4 linked regions of the Neodiprion lecontei genome follow. The protein of the gene in region 4 binds, or shares a complex with, the protein of the main gene of each other region. Links are inferred from orthologs where the notes say so. Each region holds a gene or a part of one and is shown on either strand. Other genes may lie near its edges. The genes, in order: LIM and senescent cell antigen-like-containing domain protein 1, unc-112-related protein, integrin beta-PS and basement membrane-specific heparan sulfate proteoglycan core protein.

Region 1 (6,474 bases), about 31 Mb from region 4:
TCCCACTATAAAGTGATGAAAATATTCACAGATCAGCATTATAATGTATATTGTGTGGATACTGTATACGTGTAAAATTTCTGTTTGTATAATTATTTGTGTAGTATATTATGATGCATTAATAACTCGTCAGTCAAATGTAAGATAATTACTGCGAATTATGATAAGCGATACTTTTTCTATTCCTAAGCTAGGTGTAAGGCACGAACATTTGAGAATGCTTCAATATTAGATCGAAATGGTTGTTCATCCTCTAGGTATACTTGGAAAAATCCGAATATCAGAATGCGAACAGTACATATCGAATAATTAGAAGATGCGCGTTAGTTGGCCAAGTAATATTTTTCCATTACGTGATAAATATTTACTTAAAAATAAAGTCAGTTATATAAAATATTTTTGTAGTCTTGGGGACAAATTTAATCAATGTTACGTTTTACTTTGATTACTTCTTCAAAGAATGATCTTTGTCTAATGTAATTTTAAACGGCAATTGCTAAGCACAATAAATATATAAACATACATGTACTTTTTTTTAAACACATCTGGTAAAAGTATTTTATTATTTGTTTAGGCAGGTATTTTTTTTGGATTTAAATCGTACATACGACGCATACGCCTTTTCAATTCCTGGGGAAATTTCTCGTAGCATTTCTTGCAAGCGGGTTTTAAGTCAAATTCGAAGAATTTTGTCTTTTGGTTCATCTTTTGGTCACAAAATGCGCAAGCAAAATGATGTACGCACCATGCTTTGTTTAATGCCGTAAAAACTGCAAATAAAATGGAATAAAGAATGATTTGTAAAAAACTTACAACTTAATTTTAATTATAAACATATGAGGCTTGTCGAATTATAAATGTAATTCTGTTGCTGCGAATTTTATTAAACTATGATGAAAGTAAACTGCAGCAATTTACTAATCAGAAGATTAACATAAATATAAATTATTGTGACATTTATTCGAATAATACTCCTCGTAAAGTTATGGTTCAATTTGTTATTTAGGTATAATAATATAGTACTAGACTCTCGTAATTTGCAATAAGAAAAAGTGCTTTCACTAATTTGCAAGAAGACAAAGTTTGATAGTAATTATTCTACTATTTTGCAACGAATTGTAAGTGAAATTCAATTGTCTAATACTTTTCTAGTATTTGATTGGCAAAAATTTAATTGCTGGTAATTATTGGAAAGTATCCACTGCAGACTAGTTGAAAATTTTACTGGAAATTAGAACAAGGTGCTATCTACTAAATGTTATAAACGATAGGCACTCATGCTGAAGTAATCCAATCAAAGAAAGATTGGGTCAATAAATAAGGAAACGACTTAGGAGTAATCAAAGAATCAAAGTGACCACTGTATGATATTCGAAATCTTTACCAAGTTGTAAAAAAACAATAAAAACTTACCATCTCCAGCAATTACTTGGTTGCAAACAAAACATAGGTTTCCAAAGAGCTGGTGATAATGAGTCTCACAGTAAGCAAGGCCCTTTTTCTCGTAGTGACGATGACCTAAGAATGGCTTCTCGCACTTTGCACAAACAAAGTGTTCCACGTGCCAATGTTTTCCCAAGGCAGTGACAACTCTTTCTTCTATCGGACGCCGGCAAGCTCCGCAGATCGGTATTCCCATTTTGTCGTGACATCTCAGACAATATAGTTCATTCTGTAAAATACATGATGTATGCATTTATATCAAGCAGGTATGTTAATGTTGTAGCATCTTTAAATCAGGAAATTAAAAGTAGGCATTTATCTCAGCAGATAGCTCTAATGTTATAATTGATGTAAAAAATATGAAAACAAATGAGACATGCGCCAGGCCGACTTTGAAGGGCTTTATTTTGTTGTCAGTCAATATAGGGTAGTGACAACATACGAGTATCGATATGAAACACAGCTGTTCAGCTGTGGCTTACGTATGAAAAGAAAAAAATTCAATGCCAAAATACCATCTCATTAGCCGCAAATCCAGGCCTGGACCTAACTTCTCTGGCATCAGCATTCAACTCAATCCCGCAAGCCGTGCAGTTGAAATGGTAGGGATGATATACTTCACCACGGAAACGCAGCGGTTTGTCGTCGATTATTCCACTATAGATAGAAATATTATTTAGTCAATGATTAGTAGAAAATTATACTACAATATACATATTCTAGTTATTTTTAAACTATCTGAATAACAAGAAAATTCTAAAAAATAAATACTTACTGGCATTGATGGCAGATATGCTTTCCAAGAGCCCCAGCTTTTATTCGAGCGTTACAGGTATGACACAATGCTCTTCCTTGGCATTTCATGAAACCAGTCTCTGCTAGTTCACCGCTACACTCCTCACAACGGAAGCAGCCAGGATGCCAGTTAGCATTCATGGCTTTGATTACTCTTCCAATGACAAATTCACCTGAAATTGAATTTGCCTCTAGAATGGATCTAGTTGAATGTTTATCTGAACGAAACTCAAGGAACTGTTTTCAATAATGTTAGTCGTATCACTCTTGACTTGACGATCCAGGAACAAGTGGCCGAACTAACGGAAAATATCTGACATATAACAAAACCTTATAATGAATCTTATGTATACAACTTACCACACTTGCCACAGCAAGGGGCGAATAGAACATGAAAATCATGTTCGCAATACTTTCTTCCTTCAAACTCATAGAAAATACCCTCGGGAAAAGGGCGAAAGCACTGTGCACAACTGTGAAAAGGAAAATCTGTATATATTATATCAAGAATCAAAATAGTTTGTGATCATTATATGTGAATTGATCGTTTGGAAAAATTCTCAATTTAAATAATTCTATCATAACTTTGCTGGAGACTAAAACTTCAACCATTGATAAACATTCCGGTGGTTTTATAGTTTCAATTCCATTCCAAAGTGTTACTCACACAAAACATTGCGGATGCCACAATTCTCCGCGAGAATTGACAATCTTCTCGTGCGGCTCGAATCCCTCGCGACAGCGGGAGCAGAACATGTCATCCAGAGACATCCCTGTGACTCTGTAATAAAATGAATGATATTAATGATGGAGAGAAATTTGCTGTCTTGGACATATAACATCATTCTGTATCAAAGTTTAATGGACCAATGATGTCACTGAATTTGGTTACAGAATATTCAGTGATTGCATGAAGTTGACGATTAAAATCAGTTAATAGAATAGTTAATGAGTATAATTCTTTTTCTATATACCCTGTCTTGTTTGTTGTTTGTTTTTTAAGGTCATTAGTGTCACAGTAAGCATTTTTAAAATTCCTTGGCGGGAGTTTAGGAGGTTTATCAAAACCCTTCCATTCAGCCAATTCTTCGTAGTCATATACAAAAGTAGATTGATTGCTGTTCGAGTCATTGGTAATTTCTTTCTCAACTAAATTTTCGCGGGATTGTGCACGCCTATTATATAATTTGCTGTGATCTAATGACTGTATTGATATAGACGTAGGAAATGGAAGAGTATCACTGTTTCGGGCCATTCTGAAGTCTTAAAAATTCAATGTAGCACATCGAAACTTCGTAATTGACAATAAAAAAACTTTAATCAAACCACAATTTAGCATTCAAGCTTTTCCATCCTTATTAAACACCATTCTTTTTACTTAACCAAAGAACGATTCAGTTGTTCGGGTATGTATGGATTGATATGTTATCTCGTAGTCGTCTCTGTTTGATATAATAGATAAAACTTCAGGGTAGATAAGAAGTGGATCGTCAGCTTTTCTAATACAGGTGCCAAATATTATTCCTCAAATAGAATCTGTTTTAGTTATACACCTACTTGCCACTCGGTGTAATAATTAATGCTGATTAAGCACAGCTGACTAACGGGCTTCAATATAATCATCATGTGAGTAATGCAATAGAATTGAGTTACATCACACAGCAGAAAAGTATATTCGGCGTCAAACAGTAAAATTGTAAAGCGTATCGAAGGTTAAAAAATCAAGTTGTTTCTGTTTAATTCTAAAATATGTTTGTACAGTTGACATGTTATTATAAAAACAATATGAATACCCAATCGTGATGAAATGCGCATAGTTTAAAACACATGAACAATGTCAAATAATACTTCTGAATATAAAATACCATTAACCTTCGATGAAATAAGTTTCTCTGGAGTAAATGAGACTTTGTAAGCTATCCAAGGTTACGAAATGATTAACAAACGGTTAAATATTCCATTGACATATATTCATTTGTTATGAGAACTTCGGATTTTAACGACCACTTGGATTCATGATCAAGCTGGATCAATGGATCGGTACTTTGGTAACATGAATCAGAACTGCATCTGACGCGGCAAATGTAAATATATCAATTAATATCTGGAGCTATCGTGTACTGAAATGTTCAAGTAGCACAGATTAATAAGTTCATACAATTTTATTAATACAACAATGAATGGGAGTGTACAGAATAATACATAAATTCCATGCCGAGATATCGGAGTAAAAAATGTTACGAAACATTTGGGTGGATTCAACATGTCATGAAGCAATTTTATTAGGGATTTATGAAAAGTTACTACAAAATGTGAATAAGGCGTGTTCACTTGATGTGTAATTCATTTTTTAAATTGATTTAAGCGATATATATGTAATTAAACTGGATGTGATAAGGTTTAGTGTATGTTAAGTCTATGAAATTGGATGAAGTCAATGCTAAAAATAGGCAACACAGCATTGCTTACCCTGGCATAATTTGTTTGGTGTGATACTTGAAAGAAGAAGATAATATATGGATTAGAAACTGAGGTGGGACTGGAGAATTTGGCTCCAGCACCCTGACACTCGTTATATTCGCCTCTTCGTTGTTTCTGCAATTAGAACGGGATTCACGGATACACAAAACTGCTCAGACGATTTTTACTTCTCGCACATGATCTCACATTATACGTATTATACACTGCGGTACGCGTCCCACCCAGTCGTTTTACATAAACGTACACTGCCATTCTTATCATCTAGCAACAATCGCGATTTGCGTATTCAAAGAAATATTTGTGAAACTACGTAATCCACGAAAAATATCTGGCTTACAAATATGTTTGTACACTACAGGTTATACCTATAAGCGGTATATAGATATTGGGTTACTTACCTAGTAGATAGTATACAAACAGACAACTTATAGTAACGATTAATTCGTTGTCATTAGCGAAGACTGGAGAAGCTTACACGCCCAATTCAGTAAAAATAATTATTTTCCGTTCTACCCATTCAGCCAATGAGACGACGGCGAATTAACTCTATCCTTTTAAAGATGTATATGTATGTATGGATAATCTGTGGGCGGATGTGGTGGCGAGATTTCGTGATTTCGTACTTTACTTCACGACTCCCAACAACTTACGACACCGATTTTCTTCGTATAATGCAGTTATAGTATAGGTATGTACAGCAGCGGTGTATGCTGAAACGAATCGAAGAACAGCTAACCTTACCCCCTAGCGCTTAGTGCTGGTTTTAAAGGTGTATGTAATCACGCGGCACATACACATGGAAGCAGTTTAACTATTTTTGAAATTCGACACATGCCCGCGCTCGCCATCTGACCAAGTAATATGAACTGTACAAATCTGCTGAACAAAGTAATAGCTGCTCAAAATGGAAAAGGTTACGATTAAGTGGAAAAAGATCCGGATTACGAAGACTTTTGCCGTTTGTCGTATAATTTCTGATTCAAATTATAGCACGATGAACCTCGGCAAAGTGATTTCTAAATATTTCTCAAATTATATTGTTATTTACTATAATGATATTATTATTTTTGTATCATATCGTTAATTTGTAACCTGAAATTCAAATAAATTAATAAGTAAAAATTTGCTGCCGCAACTATAACATATATGTCACCACGGGGTGAGAAATATAGTTAATCATTTTAAATATATACGTAGTCACATGTTTCAATTTGTTTCACCGTAATCGTTGACTGAAGATTGTTGCTGAAGACTGCTAAGGACAGTCAGCTGAATGGAGTATTTTGAACTGGAGCATAGCTCGAAGCAACTAGGCGAGGGATGCTAAGGGAATACTTAAGTACAGAAAGTTCTTACAGTTACCGACCCAAATAACATTGTAATCCTCGAATTCAAGAACGTCCGGTTTAACGGACGTTCATGAGCTCGGGTAAGTCCCATAAGCGAATTGGTAAGTGTAGGGCACTGCCATTACCCTCGCACTAGTTGTGCCCTTTTAGTTGCTTTAGAAGACTATTCGTAGCTGACTGGCTGTTTTTAGTAAACTTCAATGCTGTGATCTACGAGTCATTTAACGAGAAAATGAGAAACAGGGTATCCTGGTCGATTTCGACGTTGATCTCCAAATATCGAAGTCCACGTATCTCAAACACAAGAAAGGGATTAACCACCCCATTCTATACACTATTCTGAATAAGAACACCCCAATACATTTTCATTTAATGCGTAAATGAAGAAAGAGCATGGATTATACGA
Region 2 (4,914 bases), about 40 Mb from region 4:
GGGTTTGACAAACTCTTATTACCATACAATGCAGTTACGGGTCCCTAATTCTTACAATCAGCCATATGACGACGAGAGAGACTCTCTGCCTCCCCCCCACTGCTCGCGATAATTCGTACAATCATGCATTTACATTGGCCTTTAATACGCTATTTATATGTATAAAGAAATTACATCCGGCGGGAGGATTGCATGTGTATATGACGTACTACATGCCTGGGTGCGAGTGTGTAAGTATGTTTCGAGAGAAGAACGGTACAACGGAAAGCGCTGCAACAGAACCGTGACACATATCCTTTATTACGTGCATAGCGCGCAGTTGAAGAAAGTATTACAGTATGTACGATATTCTGTAAGCGCATCGACGCATAAATATGAAGGCGAGATGAACATTCGGAGGGATTTGACGAAATTGTGGTTTGAAAAGCACCTGCAGTTATACGCGACACAATATATACATAACGCGTAACCTGTCGAGGAACGCGCGCCACGCGTGTATACGTATACGCATGTATATCTGTAGGGTAGATTGTACGGGAGATCGGAGATAGAGATTATATCGCCCGTCGGGATTTCTACCTGCCGCTCTTCTTCTCGACGACCCCACGTGCATATAAGCCTCGTAACCCCTGAACCCCGAATACATCAAAGCCGATTCAAAGTATCACACACGAGTTCACACGGTGCGTAATGTTTGTTTCATTCGAAATACCGAGTACAGCCGACGAGTACGCTCTGCGTGCATATCGTTAGAAGAGTGCGATATTACGCAAAATGCGGATAGGAAGGGTTGTTTAAGGGGATGCCCTGGTCGGTTTCGACGTTGGACGTATATATCTCCGAGTATCGAAGTCCACGTATCTCAAACGCGAAAAAAGGGTTTAATAAGCCCCATTCGTTACACACGATACTGAACAAAAACACTCCAACGCATTTTCATTTAGACGCAGAAATAAAGTACTGGCACGATTTCCATGAAATCCCAATAGTAGATTCGTAGATTTCATGCCATTTCTTTATTTATTCGTCAGATGAAAACTCATCGGAGTGTTTCTGTTCAGAATTGTGCAGAAAATGGGGTAGTTTAGCCCTATTTCGCGTTTGAGATACGTGTACTTTGATACTTGAAGCTAGGTAGGACAACGTTGAAATCCACTGGGTCACCCCCTTGAGGAGCGATGAAGTTTTTACCACAAAGCCTGGCACGAGCACGGGTCTATTATCCAATATTATCTCCGTGTCGCAAGGTGTTAGTTTAAAATAAACGTGAAAGGGCGGAGGCGCGGGATGCCGTTGCATGCACACCGCACAGTATGTGCGTGCGTACGGGCATGTACGAGCTACATTGATATGTATATATATTATATACACATACATATATACACACAGATCTGGAGGAAGGGGAGGTGGTGCGTTTATAACGCAAGCCGGCGCGGCGTGCGGCCGCCTAGACAAACAACCAACGTTTCGTTTCTCCTCCTCGACTCGACTCGACTCGACTCTACGCCACGCCGAAAATACACCTTTGATGATGCCTGACGTTCGGTTCGGTCGGCCTGACTGCTTGCTTGCTTGCTTCGCTGCCTGCCTGTCTTACCGCCGATAAAATACGCGCGATCTCCCGGTTAATATCATCGTCCGATTCGGTTGTGCGTTAAACCCTGTCACAAGTCACGTAGCGCAAAACGACGGTCGCATGTGGGTTTTACTCGTTTTACTCCCAAGCATGTACGTACACGGTTTGAGACTGAGACGAGGAGACGGCGGTCAGTTACTACAGCGAATGGGTTTATTGAAAGTGTGCAATTGGCCGCGCCAACGGAGCGACGAGACGACGATGAGAACGGGCCGATTCAATTCGAGATGATGAGGCTGAAGTCTGTAACGTTAACGTAACGCGAAAGATCTGGGAAAAAAATCGTCGTTGCACAGTTTTAGAATGACTTTTCAAATAGTAAGCTTTTCGAAAATAAGAGTACATGTTTTGTTTATCGTGGTTTACTAAATTGCAGACATTACTAATAAATGGTGCAAAGTAACGATTTTTCCTTAACATGCATCGTTACAGTAACGTTACCAACTTCACGCTCATTATTCGAGGCGGGTCTTCTTCCGTAACGAAGCTCGTAATCGCGGGGGATCAGCTCGTCTCCTTGTGCTATTTTCGAGGCCGTAGGTTCATGACGCGATTTCTGAACCGAGTTTCGCGAGGTTAAAACTGTTCTTCTTCTTCTTCTTCTTCTGCTTCTTCTTCTTCTTCTTCTTCGAGAAAGCAAGAGAGGAGGGGATAGAGAGTGGGAGATTAAAGGCCGAAGATTAACGCCGGTCAACAGTAAAAATCAAGCCAGCGTAGACAAGAGCCGCGCTACCTGTACGGTCTCCGCAATGCGTCTCGCTCTTCCTCCTTTTTCTTCTTCTTCTCCTTCTTATTTTTCTTTTTCCATTTCCTTTTCTTCTTTGCAGAAGTTCGAAGAGCCCCGCAACGCAGGAACGGCGGCTCCAGCCATCCAGCGGCTGTCCGACCAAGAGTCAGAAGAAACAAGAAAACCGAGACGGCGGCGGCCTCGAGCGTCGCCTTATGTATAGTACACGCAACGACGTGTGTAAATATCGATGCGTCAGCGTTAATCTTGGAATAACTTCGAATGAACGAAGCGCGGCTGATGCTTGCACGGAAGCTACAGCCGGACCGAAGGAGTGCGGATCGAGTAAACACGCGGTGAAGAGACGGTGACGGGTGATCGGATCGTGATGCCGATTTTCACTTTTCGATACACAGGCATATGTGTGGTACGGATATATAGGAATATGGATATATATATATATATATATATAGAAATGCCTGTCGCTAATTGGCAATCAACTCACCAAGGTCTTCGACGAGACGAAGCATGACGCCACCGATGTGAAGTTCCCCCTTAACCCGGAGGCTTCTCTCGACCTGGAGATCGGTCACGAAGACGCGCAGCACCCAGCTGCCGTCGACCTCGTGTCCGTCGGAGTACATCCTGTTTAGCTGACGATGGCCTGCGAGCCGAGATATATACCTGCGAGCGAGCGAGCGAGTGAGCGATTCCGGATTTCAACGTTCGACGCACTTTGCCCGGCTGCCTGCCTTCTTCTCTTCCCTCTTCCCTCTTCCTCTGAGCCTTTGTTACGCTCTTCGAATCAAATCTCGCACTATAATCATGGCTGGAATTTCTCTTCGTGTAAAACTTTATCGAACGACGAGAACAAAACAAACGAAAAAAAAAAATAAAGAACAAACTTTTGCAATACCTTTGCGCGCGGTTTTATTTTATTTGCCTTCGGAAGGACGAAAATTCTATCCGCCTTGGAACGCGCGATCTTAACTCGACACCGACACACCGGATCTACGTTACTATATATCTTCAGCCTTTTTCCACGGCTTATCGACAAAAGTTTTCTTATCTCCCACTCGAGCGACCGTTACGCGACTCGACGACAAACCAGAATACTCCGGACGGCTCAGCGGTCTACGCCGTACAGAGCCATCCGTGCTTGTCCGTCCCGGTCCCCCCCTTCAGCCGCTTCGCCCAACATCCACGACCGACTTCCGTTAGCTCCGCATCCCGTTTTCGTTCTTGTTCATTGGTCGCCCACCTCGTGGCGCTGCGAGACGCATCTGATTGTAAGATCGAGTCCTACCTTACCGCACGCGGTAACTTGACGTTTGGTTACCCACGCCGTGGCGCTATTTTTGAATTCCGTACCTGAGTAATCGGGAAAACAGAGAACCGTGTTAAAATTTCGTACAACTATAAACGGTGTATAATATGAAAAATAATTATTACAAGATTTGCAATACGGTGTTTCTACTAACGAACCTTCCGATTAAGAACTACGATCGATTAATTGTTGCTTGTAATTCCTGCCAACCTATCGTACGGACTGCTGCAGCGTCGAAAAATGAAACTGCTTAGCGGGAGATAGTCGGATAAATACGAAACCTCGAAAATATGTACTTGGTATATGTACTTTACCCTTGCGAATTCACAGAATTCGCGACATTTTCTTTATTTCTGCGTCAAATGAAAATGTATCGGAGTGTTTATATTCAGAACTGCGTATAGAATGGGGTTGTTAAGCCCGTCTTCGCGTTTGAGGTACGTGGACTTTGATATTTGGAGATATATAAGTCGGCGTCGAAACCAATCAGGGCAACCCCTTAATATTATTAGATGCTTCAAAAATTTGTGCGGAGCATCGTTTGCAAATCTCAAATTTACAAAACTGACTGATTAATTTCGGAAACAACTATTTTTGGAAATACTTAAGGTTTTCCTGCGGGTTTTATAATAAAGCACTTGATCACAAGGGTCGATAAATTCATTTTCCCGTTCCATTCTCATTCGTGGACGAGGAGCGGAAATTTAATTATTTTCGCATTGACAGTACTGGGAAATAAATCTAACATCCGATCCCTTGTGTAATCAGCATCTAACAACACGCATGCCTTTTCCTTTCATACTGTATGCAGAGTCTGCGATACTATAGATATATAATAAATATTCATGACACAAGTACTTTTATACAGAGTAAACTAGTAAACATTTATGCAATAAAAAGTTTCAAGTTCCAAATTAATTTTCATCGAAAGGGCGGCGTTGTAGAATACTTGAATAATCTGCTCCCCTTACGCTAATACAGCTATAAATGAATTGAGTCTGCATCAACATTTCTAAATAATAAAACCGTATTCAGTTTGAAATTGTAGAAATAGGAGCGGGTAGCGCATAGTATTTCGAATTCCTATCAATAATTCATTGAAACGTGACCTTGTAGTGGCATTAACGTCGTTCTGTCCTTTCCTGTCCGCCAAAACATAGAAATCAAATCAAGTATCTGTCGCGGACGCTTGGCAGGTATTATAATTTCCAATGGTTAAATTAA
Region 3 (4,923 bases), on a different chromosome or scaffold from region 4:
ACTTGCTCAAGTCCATGAGGTAGTAAAGATCAACTGGATAATCCTCGGCTTGAGAGTATGAAAAAGACATAGTATGCACCTCATCTAAAGCAATGGAAAAGACGAATGAAGTAATTATTGCATATAAGAATAAAATTCACTGGTAAAAAATATTGTTAATAATTCAGGAAATAGCAAAATTGTCAACAATTAGCAATAATTGGAATTTGAAAAATCTCACTCACTTATCCTAAGGGTCAAATCGACTTCTTGAGGCCAGATTTGAATCGCCTCCTGTCTCCTACTACCACTGCTAGAACTCGTATGATTAGAGCTAGAGCTTGAGGAAGACGATGAGGAAGACGAAGAAGAGGATGAACTTTGCTCAAATTCACTACCACCTGCTACAGATGAATAACCACCCTTTGTTAATTCCGCGTGCCGAATCACATCATAAACATTATTCGGATACCGCGTATATTTCTTTGGGCACGTAGCATATATTTTTGTGTTTATGTTTGGCAAAAAACACCTCATCTCCGAAAATTTCTGTGAACATAGGAATACATATTTTACATATACTTACAGATGTAACAACAGGGTAGCCCATTCCGTTACATAGGGTTTTTTGTTAACATAGAAAAAAATTATCCAACTTACAGGAGCAGCGCACCAAGCACAATGTGGAGTTTGTATACATTCGTGGCAGGTTTGCTTGCTGATACAGGGATTCATTCCAGTGAGTCTTTCAGGTAGAGGGTAGTCAGCTTTGACAGCAACAAAAACTATCGCTGTGACAAGGGCCAGGGCCCATTCTAAGCTGCCAAACATCCCTGTAGATCAATGGATATGTGTTACATTCTGCATATTTCACTGCAACCGAACAAGTATGAATTCATACCTCAACAAATTCAGAACCGCTGTACTGCACAGTTTATTGAAAAGGATTGCCCTTATTCAATGCAATCGCAAAATAAAAAACCAATATAAAAGTATTAAGCAAAGGAAATTTGAATCTAATGCCGCATCTGTTAATTATGATGAAATTGAAAATCCTACTAAAATAAAAAGGCAACTTCATTGACACAATAGTACACAATGGTACTAAACATTACTATGCAACAAATTACACCTTTCGATATCAATACTGAAGAGTCAAATTTTTTAAAATTTATTTACAAGCGTGTGAATTCCTGAATACAGTCTTGTAACAAAGTTAGCAGAATATTAATTCTAAATAAATAGACGTTATCTTCTGACATTCAGTTGCCCTACGTATTCCTGGTTAGCCATATGTGGTTATACAGAAAGCCTTATAAGGATATCGTGTGACAGTTGAAAATTAACATGAAAACAGATTATGCTGTCTACTTGGAATAATAATTGAAAGAAACTGGTAGATATATGTGAAACTAAGAGAGAAATAATACGCATTCTAGTAAAGTGTAAATTACTTTGTACAGCAAGAGGATAATGAAATTAAGTATAAAATAAAAGTACAAGAAATGTAAAATTTAAGATGAAATGAATTCCAATGAATCAGCTCGATGATAAGTACACTGACCATTGAAAAAACCCACCACAATAAATGTACAATGAAACATTATCCGTTTTATTTTGCAAAGTACCGGCATCGTGCATTGCATAAAGTAATCAAAATTGACATATTTAAGTAAAAATTAATAATACCAATTAATGTTATCATTGTAGCTAAATATAATACTTCTTTGGTCAGTTAGGATTCTTATTTCTACACCCTCACATTTAGCAACAGGAGTCTATTATTAAGCTGCTGAGTCAGATTTTCTTAGTAAGCCAAAGGTAAGACATCATACTTTTACTTGGTAATATCACATGCTGTGATGATGGTATCTGGTTGGTCATATTCGTACGTGAATGATTATTGGCATGAAATCATCCGATATACATGATTCAATGTCAATAAATTTGATTAAAAATTACTTTTCCTCATCCCTAGATTACGGAAAAATCACTGAAAATTTTCAATTGTAACTGAATACCAAAATAATACGTTATACTGCTACGTTTAAGAACACAAGCTGGAAACATGCATACTTATCTCAAGAGCAAAAGTGCAAACAAGAAAGTAAGATAATGGATTCACTATATAGAACTGAAACATTTTCTTACAAACTTGTTTTTGGATATCACATTTTTTTACCAAACAAATGGTCGCATGAATGGCGTATACAACATTTTTGCATCCATATTAGCAAATTTTATAAACAAGAGCGACATCTGATTGTATAATAATTAATAATAGGTTGAGAATATTGACAACAAGCAAAACAATGTATCTAATTTGTAAACGGGTGTAGCGATTGTTCGGTACTAATGAAAACGTGAAATTTTATTTCAGTAATTGTTTAATTATCTAATTAAATTTAAGAGATGGATCCGTTTGACTTGCAGGGTCGAGGAAATTTTTTAAATCAAATGTTTCTTAGATTTGATCGAAGGATTGATATTTCCTCACTACTTCTTGTGACGCACATTAATAACAAGAAGCGCTTTCGTTTCGTAGAACGTTGTCATAAATGGTATTTGTACTTGTGAAATGCGCGAGTGAGGTGCGGCCGAAAACCAGTTCTCCCACGCTATATTTGTCCCTTAAGAATAAGGTTTTTGCCCAGTAAATCGAAGGGTGATAACGGTGATATTTTTGGGACAAAGATTTGTTCCACTTGCAGATCATTTAGGTTTGAGAACACGTCTCGATTACCCATCCATTAATGCCGTCATCTCTATATTTACAAGACACCGCATTAGCATGAAAAAGGTTACGGAGATGAGAATCCGTGAACCATAAATTTGATATACGTATTTTTAACTCGGTAAGGCCGGATATGAAATTTGATATACATTTCTTACTTTCTAGATTTGAAGGTGATTATCGGCTGTCCTTATAACATCACAAACTCCGAAGAAATAATTTCACAACTTTGGATCACCATAAAAGGCAACCCCACACCGCCACGGAATAACGACTCAATAACGAGCCGTTCGTTCAACGTCGGGTAGACGACTGGTCACTAGAGTTGGACAAAATATCAGAAGAGTTATTTCGAATTGAGCATATGCGAGTATTGTTATATCGATGAACTCACATCCGTCCCGTATGCACCCGAGAAAGACCCGAGATTATCCGATTATTCACGATAACGCGCTCGTTACATCTCGCCGAATGCACTTTCCAAATAAGCGGGAAATTCAAATAAGCTTATTCAGCTCTAATGATGATGTCTAGTGTACTAATTCGGTACGCGACTATACGACTATTTTTGCGCCCAACCTCGCCGACTGTTCACAGGAGTATGTATGTTGTATAATATTTCTCCAATCCTGCCTTATATGTTGATTACTAAGTATCTGTACCACAACCGCGTATCCGCTAGTTTCCGGTGGGAAATCAGCGACGAATTAGTCATCGTTCAATGATGATGCGATCATTCAGCTGCGGCTACAAAATCTAAATAATCTTGAAACATAATACAACTTTGCATGCATATAAGGTTCGTGTTTCGCAAGTAAGCTGCAAATGTTACGTATTCGGATTTTAATTATGCGCCTTCAGTGCACCCAGAAACCCTATTTGCAAACAATTTATATACGCACTTACTAAATTTTACATCGTGTATATCAGTATATCGAAAAAACTGAACTTCACAGAAACAGAACTGCTTAATGTAGAGTTTATAATTAGTTTTTTAAATCGCAAATTTTCCTTATAAGTTTTTGAAACAGTGACTGACAATCACGCAGGTACGGTGTTACTCGATAGTTTTTCTTATCTACAATTCGCATCCCGCAACCACAGTTGATATTATTATTTATATACATATAGGAGCAGGGTCTAAAATTAATTTATGCCATAAGCTAGCAAGTCTGTGCCCGAAGTTCTGAAAATACTGGACGTAATGTAACCTTACAATTCAGTCGTATTTGAAATCCGGAAATGGAATTGTGTAAAAATACGTTGCCCGCCATATTGATATATTTTGACAGCCTGTGTTGACAGCTTCATTTGCGAGGGAAACAACGCATGTCAAGAAATCAAAATATCCTGATAAAATCCTATAGTTCATTTATTGTACAAATATAGTTTCTACATGTATCATGAGTGACACACTTTCCTCTTATTCCGGCAGCTATGTACAATACGCACGCCAATTCGACGAGGAAAAAACAGCAAAGCTTTATCGGAACATAAAGAAGGTTAGCTTTGACAACTTGAACTGCACCGTCATAAAAAAAAACTCATAACTCAAACTGTATTTTCAACTATCCTTTTCTTGGTTCTCAGACGCTTCAAGAGGTGCAACAAATCGCCAGCGAGGTAAATTGTAATTATAAAGAACTCGAAGAGAACATGAACCGTGCAGCGCGACTCATCACAGCAATCCAAATCTGTAAAAGGCGAGAGGCTGAAGCGACGGCATTGACCGAAACAAATGACTAAAACTGTAATAAAAGGAATTTATTCAATTAATAAATAATCAAATTCCTATTCTTGATGGCCGTGGTTTTTTTTTTGTTCTTATTTGATTTTCGCGGGTCAAATCGTAATATCTCGCTTCAAAACGCAAGCGATGACTAATAAAAAGAAAAAGAAAAAAAATCCCTAGATTCTGTCTGCTACATCCTGCTGTCAAACCTGTCATCGTAATTACACACCACATTATACGCAGAAGTGTACGATTTATCGGAAATTAGACTGAATAATACCCGAATACCAATGAAAAATCAAAACTGGAGGTGTGGTTTGTGATTATCTGTTGATCTATCTACTTTGGAATGCCGAAATTCAATCGTAGAGGGTAAGTCGAGAGCTTTGAAAATCTATACCAACGTCAGCAAATTCGAAATATCGAATATTCTATTTTTATTCTTCACGAGATCAACCTCACACGCCGCTATATATTT
Region 4 (4,761 bases):
AGTCTGACGCACTGGTAAAACTATGTACGTTATACCTAATATTAGCCCCACAGTCAAGTAGGTGATTAAATGCCTGCCGTATAGGTTTTCACGCTCGCCGTTCAATGCGGCAGCCAGCTTCTGTATAATACACATGGCGATATATCTATGAATATCATCTATACGATTTCACTATACAGAGTGGCATTCCATCGAGATGAAGAAGTAAATAAATAAATGTATGAATAATGGTAAGCGGATTAAAATAGCGGTCAGACTATCGTTCCAAACTCTACAATTGTCATTAATTCGGAAACAATTCCCGAAGTTTGCGTATTGCTCTTGCAGTTATTTTTATAGTGGTACTCTACGATTGAACCTTCACGAACATTTTATCGCCTCGATTGAGCGGCGATTTATAGTTATAGTTTATATTTGATCTTTTTTTATTTTTTATTATTTTGCACAGTTATAAATTTGAGACATTCAGAGCTTGACACTTGAAATAGTTCACGGCGCAGTTCAAAGATGAATAGATAATCGACGATGATTTATAAAACTTGACAATTGATGACAATTTATAGGTGGATCAAGATTGGTGGGCGTAAATCACACGTGTGAATCCAAAGATATCCATTTCCGAAACGGAATGCTGGAATCTATTCCGATATGAATTTTGAAATAGTGATTTTAAGCAGGTTCCACAGTTAAATATCCGCAGTACTTGCTGATAATTTCATTACGAATTGGTCGCACGTTGCGTGTTTATCAAATTAACACATTCGTGAACTACGGTGATTTTTTCGAAGAAGTAAAACATAATTTTCAAAAGAGAGGACAGGTAACCATTTTTTACATCGAATTGCCTCAAGATACCGAAAATTTTTGTGTATTCTTTCGATTTCACTCTGCATGTGACGAGTGATTTTATCCTGAAATCAATTTTCGCTACAATCCCACTGTGACAGTTTTTGCTTCCTTATCACGTTGGTACCGTAAAACATGTAATTCCGCAATACCGATCTGACATCGATTCGGCTCAACAAGTAGCAATTAAAAATTGGACATTCATCGAAAAAAGAAAAAACAAAAAAGAAATCCACTTCGGAAAATTTCTAAGTAACGACTTTTCAAAGGGCGAGAACAAAAAAAAAAAAAAAAATCATCAGGTCGTGAAATTGAACAAGTCTAAAACATTTTTCATAAAATCGATATCGAAATTGTGTCTCATAATTTCAGCAACTTTTTGCTCGTTGAATTTCTAGAATACCCAGCATCGCAGCTTACGAACGTAACAATTTGTTGAATGCTCCGTGAAAGCGTTTCCAAAAAATCTCGATATTCAATCCGTCGCAACGTTGCGAAAATCGAACGATCGAAGGGTAACGAACCCGTTGAGTCGGTGCTAAACCGTTTGGCGTAAACTGGTCCGGACAGAAGAGGATCGTCCGGCACCTTGACCGGTAACCGGCTGAACCGGCAACGCGCGCACCGAGCGTTCAGAACAGATCGGATCGGACCGTCGCGTCGTCGAGTGTGCGGCTGCCGAACGGAGCGGCGGGGCGGCTCCTGGAGCGAAAAGCGATGCTTGCGAGGTGGCGCAGGAAGGGGGGGGGGGGGGGGGAGGGGGGATGGACGAAGGAGGGGGCGCCACAGCCGAACCTGAACCTCGGCGGTTCGCCGCAAGGGGGGGGGGGGGGGGAGGCGAAACGGGTGGAGAGGGAACCACCACACGGGGCTTTTGAAAATGTTTTATCTTAGCCGGCGCGCACGGCTCTCAGACGCTACCCAACGCCGGTACGGTGTGGTGTGATCGTTGAAGCTGCAGAGCGTGACGACGAGCAGCGTCTGCGGTAGAGAGATTCGTTCTAAGGAGTCGGATTCGATCAGGTCTGCAGCGAAAAATTCGCGGGGTTGTTACGGAGCTGGGTGGAGAGAGAGAGAGAGAGAGAGAGAAGGTAGAGACGGCGGGTAGATTAGGAGGCGCGGTAAATTTGAAAACGGTTACGAAGGAACGACCAGTAAACAGGAAAATACGTCAACCATGAACCGTTGTCGCTGAAAAGTTTCGACTGACGGTTCGAAATCATCGCGCGGGTTTCCATCGACGGTTTTTCGTACTGCTGTCGCGGTAATAGATATAAAAAAAAAAAAAACAGAAATAACACCTTTGACCAGGCTGTCGAACCGTTCGCTTTTCGGCGATCGGTAATTCGCCCTTTCGAGATGACCACCAACGGCAGTGTTTTACTCAGGAGTGCTCTTCTCGCAGTGCTACTCGCCGCTTCCTTCGCTTCGGCATCCTTCGAAGAGGTGAGTTCATTACACACGTTTCTCATCGATATAGAACTTGATGGATGTATGTGTATATAGGTATATATACCGTCATCGCGATGATTCTACAAGAATTGTAAGTCTGGTTTTAGAAAATCGATAATCAGTTTTATACTGTATTTCCCTCCCCACGATTTACCTCGAAAAGTGCCGGGTCCTTCTTAAACCCGACAGTCAACGTTTTCATTCAATCACATTTCGTTCCTGAGAACCATATCCGTATGGATAATAAATTGTTCTTTCAAATTTGTCAAATTGCGCATACACAGGTATCGGTTAAATACCAGAGCTTGATAATCGATCACCCACCAAGTACTCGTCTCGCTCTATTTCCATCCGAAAGTGCAGGCAAAGAGATGTTGGAAACAGGTTGAAACCGATTGAGAAAATGAAGAATTGAATAGTACGAGTATCCGCACCATTTCTTTTAACGTAACCGTATCGCAATTCCCGCTGTATAATCACTTTACAATATATCACGACGAAAAGGAACTAAAAATATAATCGTACGATAGAAAATAGGAGGAAAGGGGAAGGAGGTAACTGGGCCGCTTATTAGGTCGGACGATAACGATGCGGTTACATCTGCGGGGCTATCGATCACACGTGCTTTCGTTTTATCGATGACGGATCCGAGCGATTGTGATTTGGGAATCGCAGAAATCCTTGTTGCGATTACACGTCTGCAAATGGCCTCCGTTGTACGAGCCGCGACGGTAACGTGAAGGGTATCGACACATACAGTCTAGAACTCGGATTATCCGTCGTAGCAATTGAAGTGTAACACACTCAGGGGTATCCGTTTCTACGTCTCGGACTGCATCAAGTTCGACGCACCCTCGAGTTTGAACAGAATTAAGGCTTCCTTCATCCGATCATCCTGCGGCTGTCGCTGATGGATCAGCCCTGGTCTCCGACCGGAAGTAGCAAAGTGCGAAAATTCCCGGAGACACTGACAAAGCGTCGAAACAAGTTCGCGATGATAGTTCGGAGATGAAAGATCGTTGCGACGCGTGGTTACCTTCTACTTAATGAGAACGGAAAAGCAAGGTGGGGATAAAAATGTTAGAAATCAGAAAGATTACCGCATCGGTTTCTCTAAAACGCGAAAATCTATTTTGTACAATGATTTCGAAGTATGTGCAGAAAATTCTGCTGTATTCCAAGTCATTCTGACGTTTCTGCATCGTGGTTTGGTTCTGTACTTTGATCTTTTCACATTTCGACATTATGGATTTGAAAAATACTATAAATAAAAATAAATCTTGGCCCTATGACCCTTGAATTTTATGGATCTCTGTGAATCTCTACCCCCACCCGGAAAATCATGTAGGAACAGAAGGAATGGGGAAGTCTTATTCTCGCGTGCATCGTAGCACGTGCGTCCGGCATTTCTGGTGAACCTCTGGATATCGAGGTCGATTGACAGGTAGCTCGGGATTTACCTCCCAAACAACATGGAGACGCCTATTGCGTGGCAGCCGTGAACATCTGTATCAACATGTGCCCAGTACCTAAAACCGACGGTATTGAAACGATACCTTTGCGGAGAACGCGGTTCACAACTGATTGTTGTGAACCGCAATTTGTTTAGCAGTACTTTTACCTCGATTGGAAGTATGTCGCTCGGTTGGTGTCATGTTAACTCGTAGGCAGCGTAGGTTTCTTCTTCGTCTGATACCTAATAATGTACCTTAATTAATTTGCCCGAAATACGACGGATCGTCAAAATTTGACACTTTCCATGATGGGCAGAAAATTGGCCCACGGAAATTACTCGACTCAGAGACGTGATAGCATATCGCATACACGCCACATCTGGTCTTCCTCATTAAGTATTTCGCAGTGTTATTGCATAATTCGTTCATCTGGATCCGATATTTTCATCTGATTTTATGCTATTTTAAGAATCTTGAAGATCGTGAACGATGATATTTGGAAATTGAGGAATTGAGCTGCTTATTTATGGTTTTATTTTCGATCTTAGTCTGCGTGTAATCAATACCGATTTCAAATATAAAATAGGTAAGAAAAAGAGTTCGCTCTCATATTTCGTTCCTCGAAATATCCTATACCGTTGAAGTTTCGTTCGCTAAAATAAGGTTCCATCAAGCGTAGCTTTTTCGTAATCAACGGTAAGATAACAGGCCTGCGGAATAGAACTTTTAATATCTCCCGAATAGTAATAATGCTTTTTTCTAGGTATTTAGATATGCTGAATTAAAATGTAGCGAAAGTTTTTTTTACACCGTATCGAGATTTATTCTTATGCAAGATACGCATATTTATAAATTTTTGAACAATGTTTATAAAAAAAAAAAAATATATCAAATGTAAAACTTTTTAAGTATAAAATTAATGGCATTAGTTTTAAACAACACTTAAGAGACTTGTGACATCTTTTTCTACTTTCTTCAAAATTCCTGTTCAATCTTTTTCTCTTGTACT

What was found.
Region 1: basement membrane-specific heparan sulfate proteoglycan core protein (region 4) and LIM and senescent cell antigen-like-containing domain protein 1 share a complex: the UniProt entries of both Caenorhabditis elegans proteins name them as parts of the integrin containing attachment complex. The link is inferred for Neodiprion lecontei from reciprocal best matches to the Caenorhabditis elegans genes unc-52 and unc-97.
Region 2: basement membrane-specific heparan sulfate proteoglycan core protein (region 4) and unc-112-related protein share a complex: the UniProt entries of both Caenorhabditis elegans proteins name them as parts of the integrin containing attachment complex. The link is inferred for Neodiprion lecontei from reciprocal best matches to the Caenorhabditis elegans genes unc-52 and unc-112.
Region 3: basement membrane-specific heparan sulfate proteoglycan core protein (region 4) and integrin beta-PS share a complex: the UniProt entries of both Caenorhabditis elegans proteins name them as parts of the integrin containing attachment complex. The link is inferred for Neodiprion lecontei from reciprocal best matches to the Caenorhabditis elegans genes unc-52 and pat-3.

What each region holds. Positions count from the first base shown.
Region 1 is NC_060263.1:9,168,663-9,175,136, reverse strand, and holds LIM and senescent cell antigen-like-containing domain protein 1, read right to left. Parts: upstream 4,623-6,474; 5' UTR 3,494-4,622; coding exon 3,213-3,493; intron 3,020-3,212; coding exon 2,906-3,019; intron 2,712-2,905; coding exon 2,599-2,711; intron 2,412-2,598; coding exon 2,219-2,411; intron 2,101-2,218; coding exon 1,959-2,100; intron 1,673-1,958; coding exon 1,414-1,672; intron 771-1,413; coding exon 571-770; 3' UTR 539-570; downstream 1-538. UniProt on the Caenorhabditis elegans protein: Component of an integrin containing attachment complex, which is required for muscle development and maintenance. Probably function in adherens junction.
Region 2 is NC_060263.1:391,929-396,842, reverse strand, and holds the start of unc-112-related protein, read right to left. Parts: upstream 3,008-4,914; coding exon 2,869-3,007; intron 2,791-2,868; exon of another isoform or gene 2,464-2,790; intron 2,372-2,463; exon of another isoform or gene 1,519-2,371; intron 1-1,518. UniProt on the Caenorhabditis elegans protein: Component of an integrin containing attachment complex, which is required for muscle development and maintenance. Probable regulator of cell-extracellular matrix adhesion. Required during initial muscle assembly to form dense bodies and M-lines.
Region 3 is NC_060261.1:40,087,472-40,092,394, forward strand, and holds the start of integrin beta-PS, read right to left. Parts: upstream 3,024-4,923; 5' UTR 2,872-3,023; intron 813-2,871; 5' UTR 811-812; coding exon 640-810; intron 529-639; coding exon 225-528; intron 85-224; coding exon 1-84. UniProt on the Caenorhabditis elegans protein: Integrin alpha ina-1/beta pat-3 is a receptor for laminin. Integrin alpha pat-2/beta pat-3 recognizes the sequence R-G-D in its ligands. Plays a role in cell migration, morphogenesis and probably in cell-cell interactions.
Region 4 is NC_060263.1:40,499,093-40,503,853, reverse strand, and holds the start of basement membrane-specific heparan sulfate proteoglycan core protein, read left to right. Parts: upstream 1-1,754; 5' UTR 1,755-2,205; coding exon 2,206-2,292; intron 2,293-4,761. UniProt on the Caenorhabditis elegans protein: Component of an integrin containing attachment complex, which is required for muscle development and maintenance. Probable structural role in myofilament assembly and/or attachment of the myofilament lattice to the cell membrane.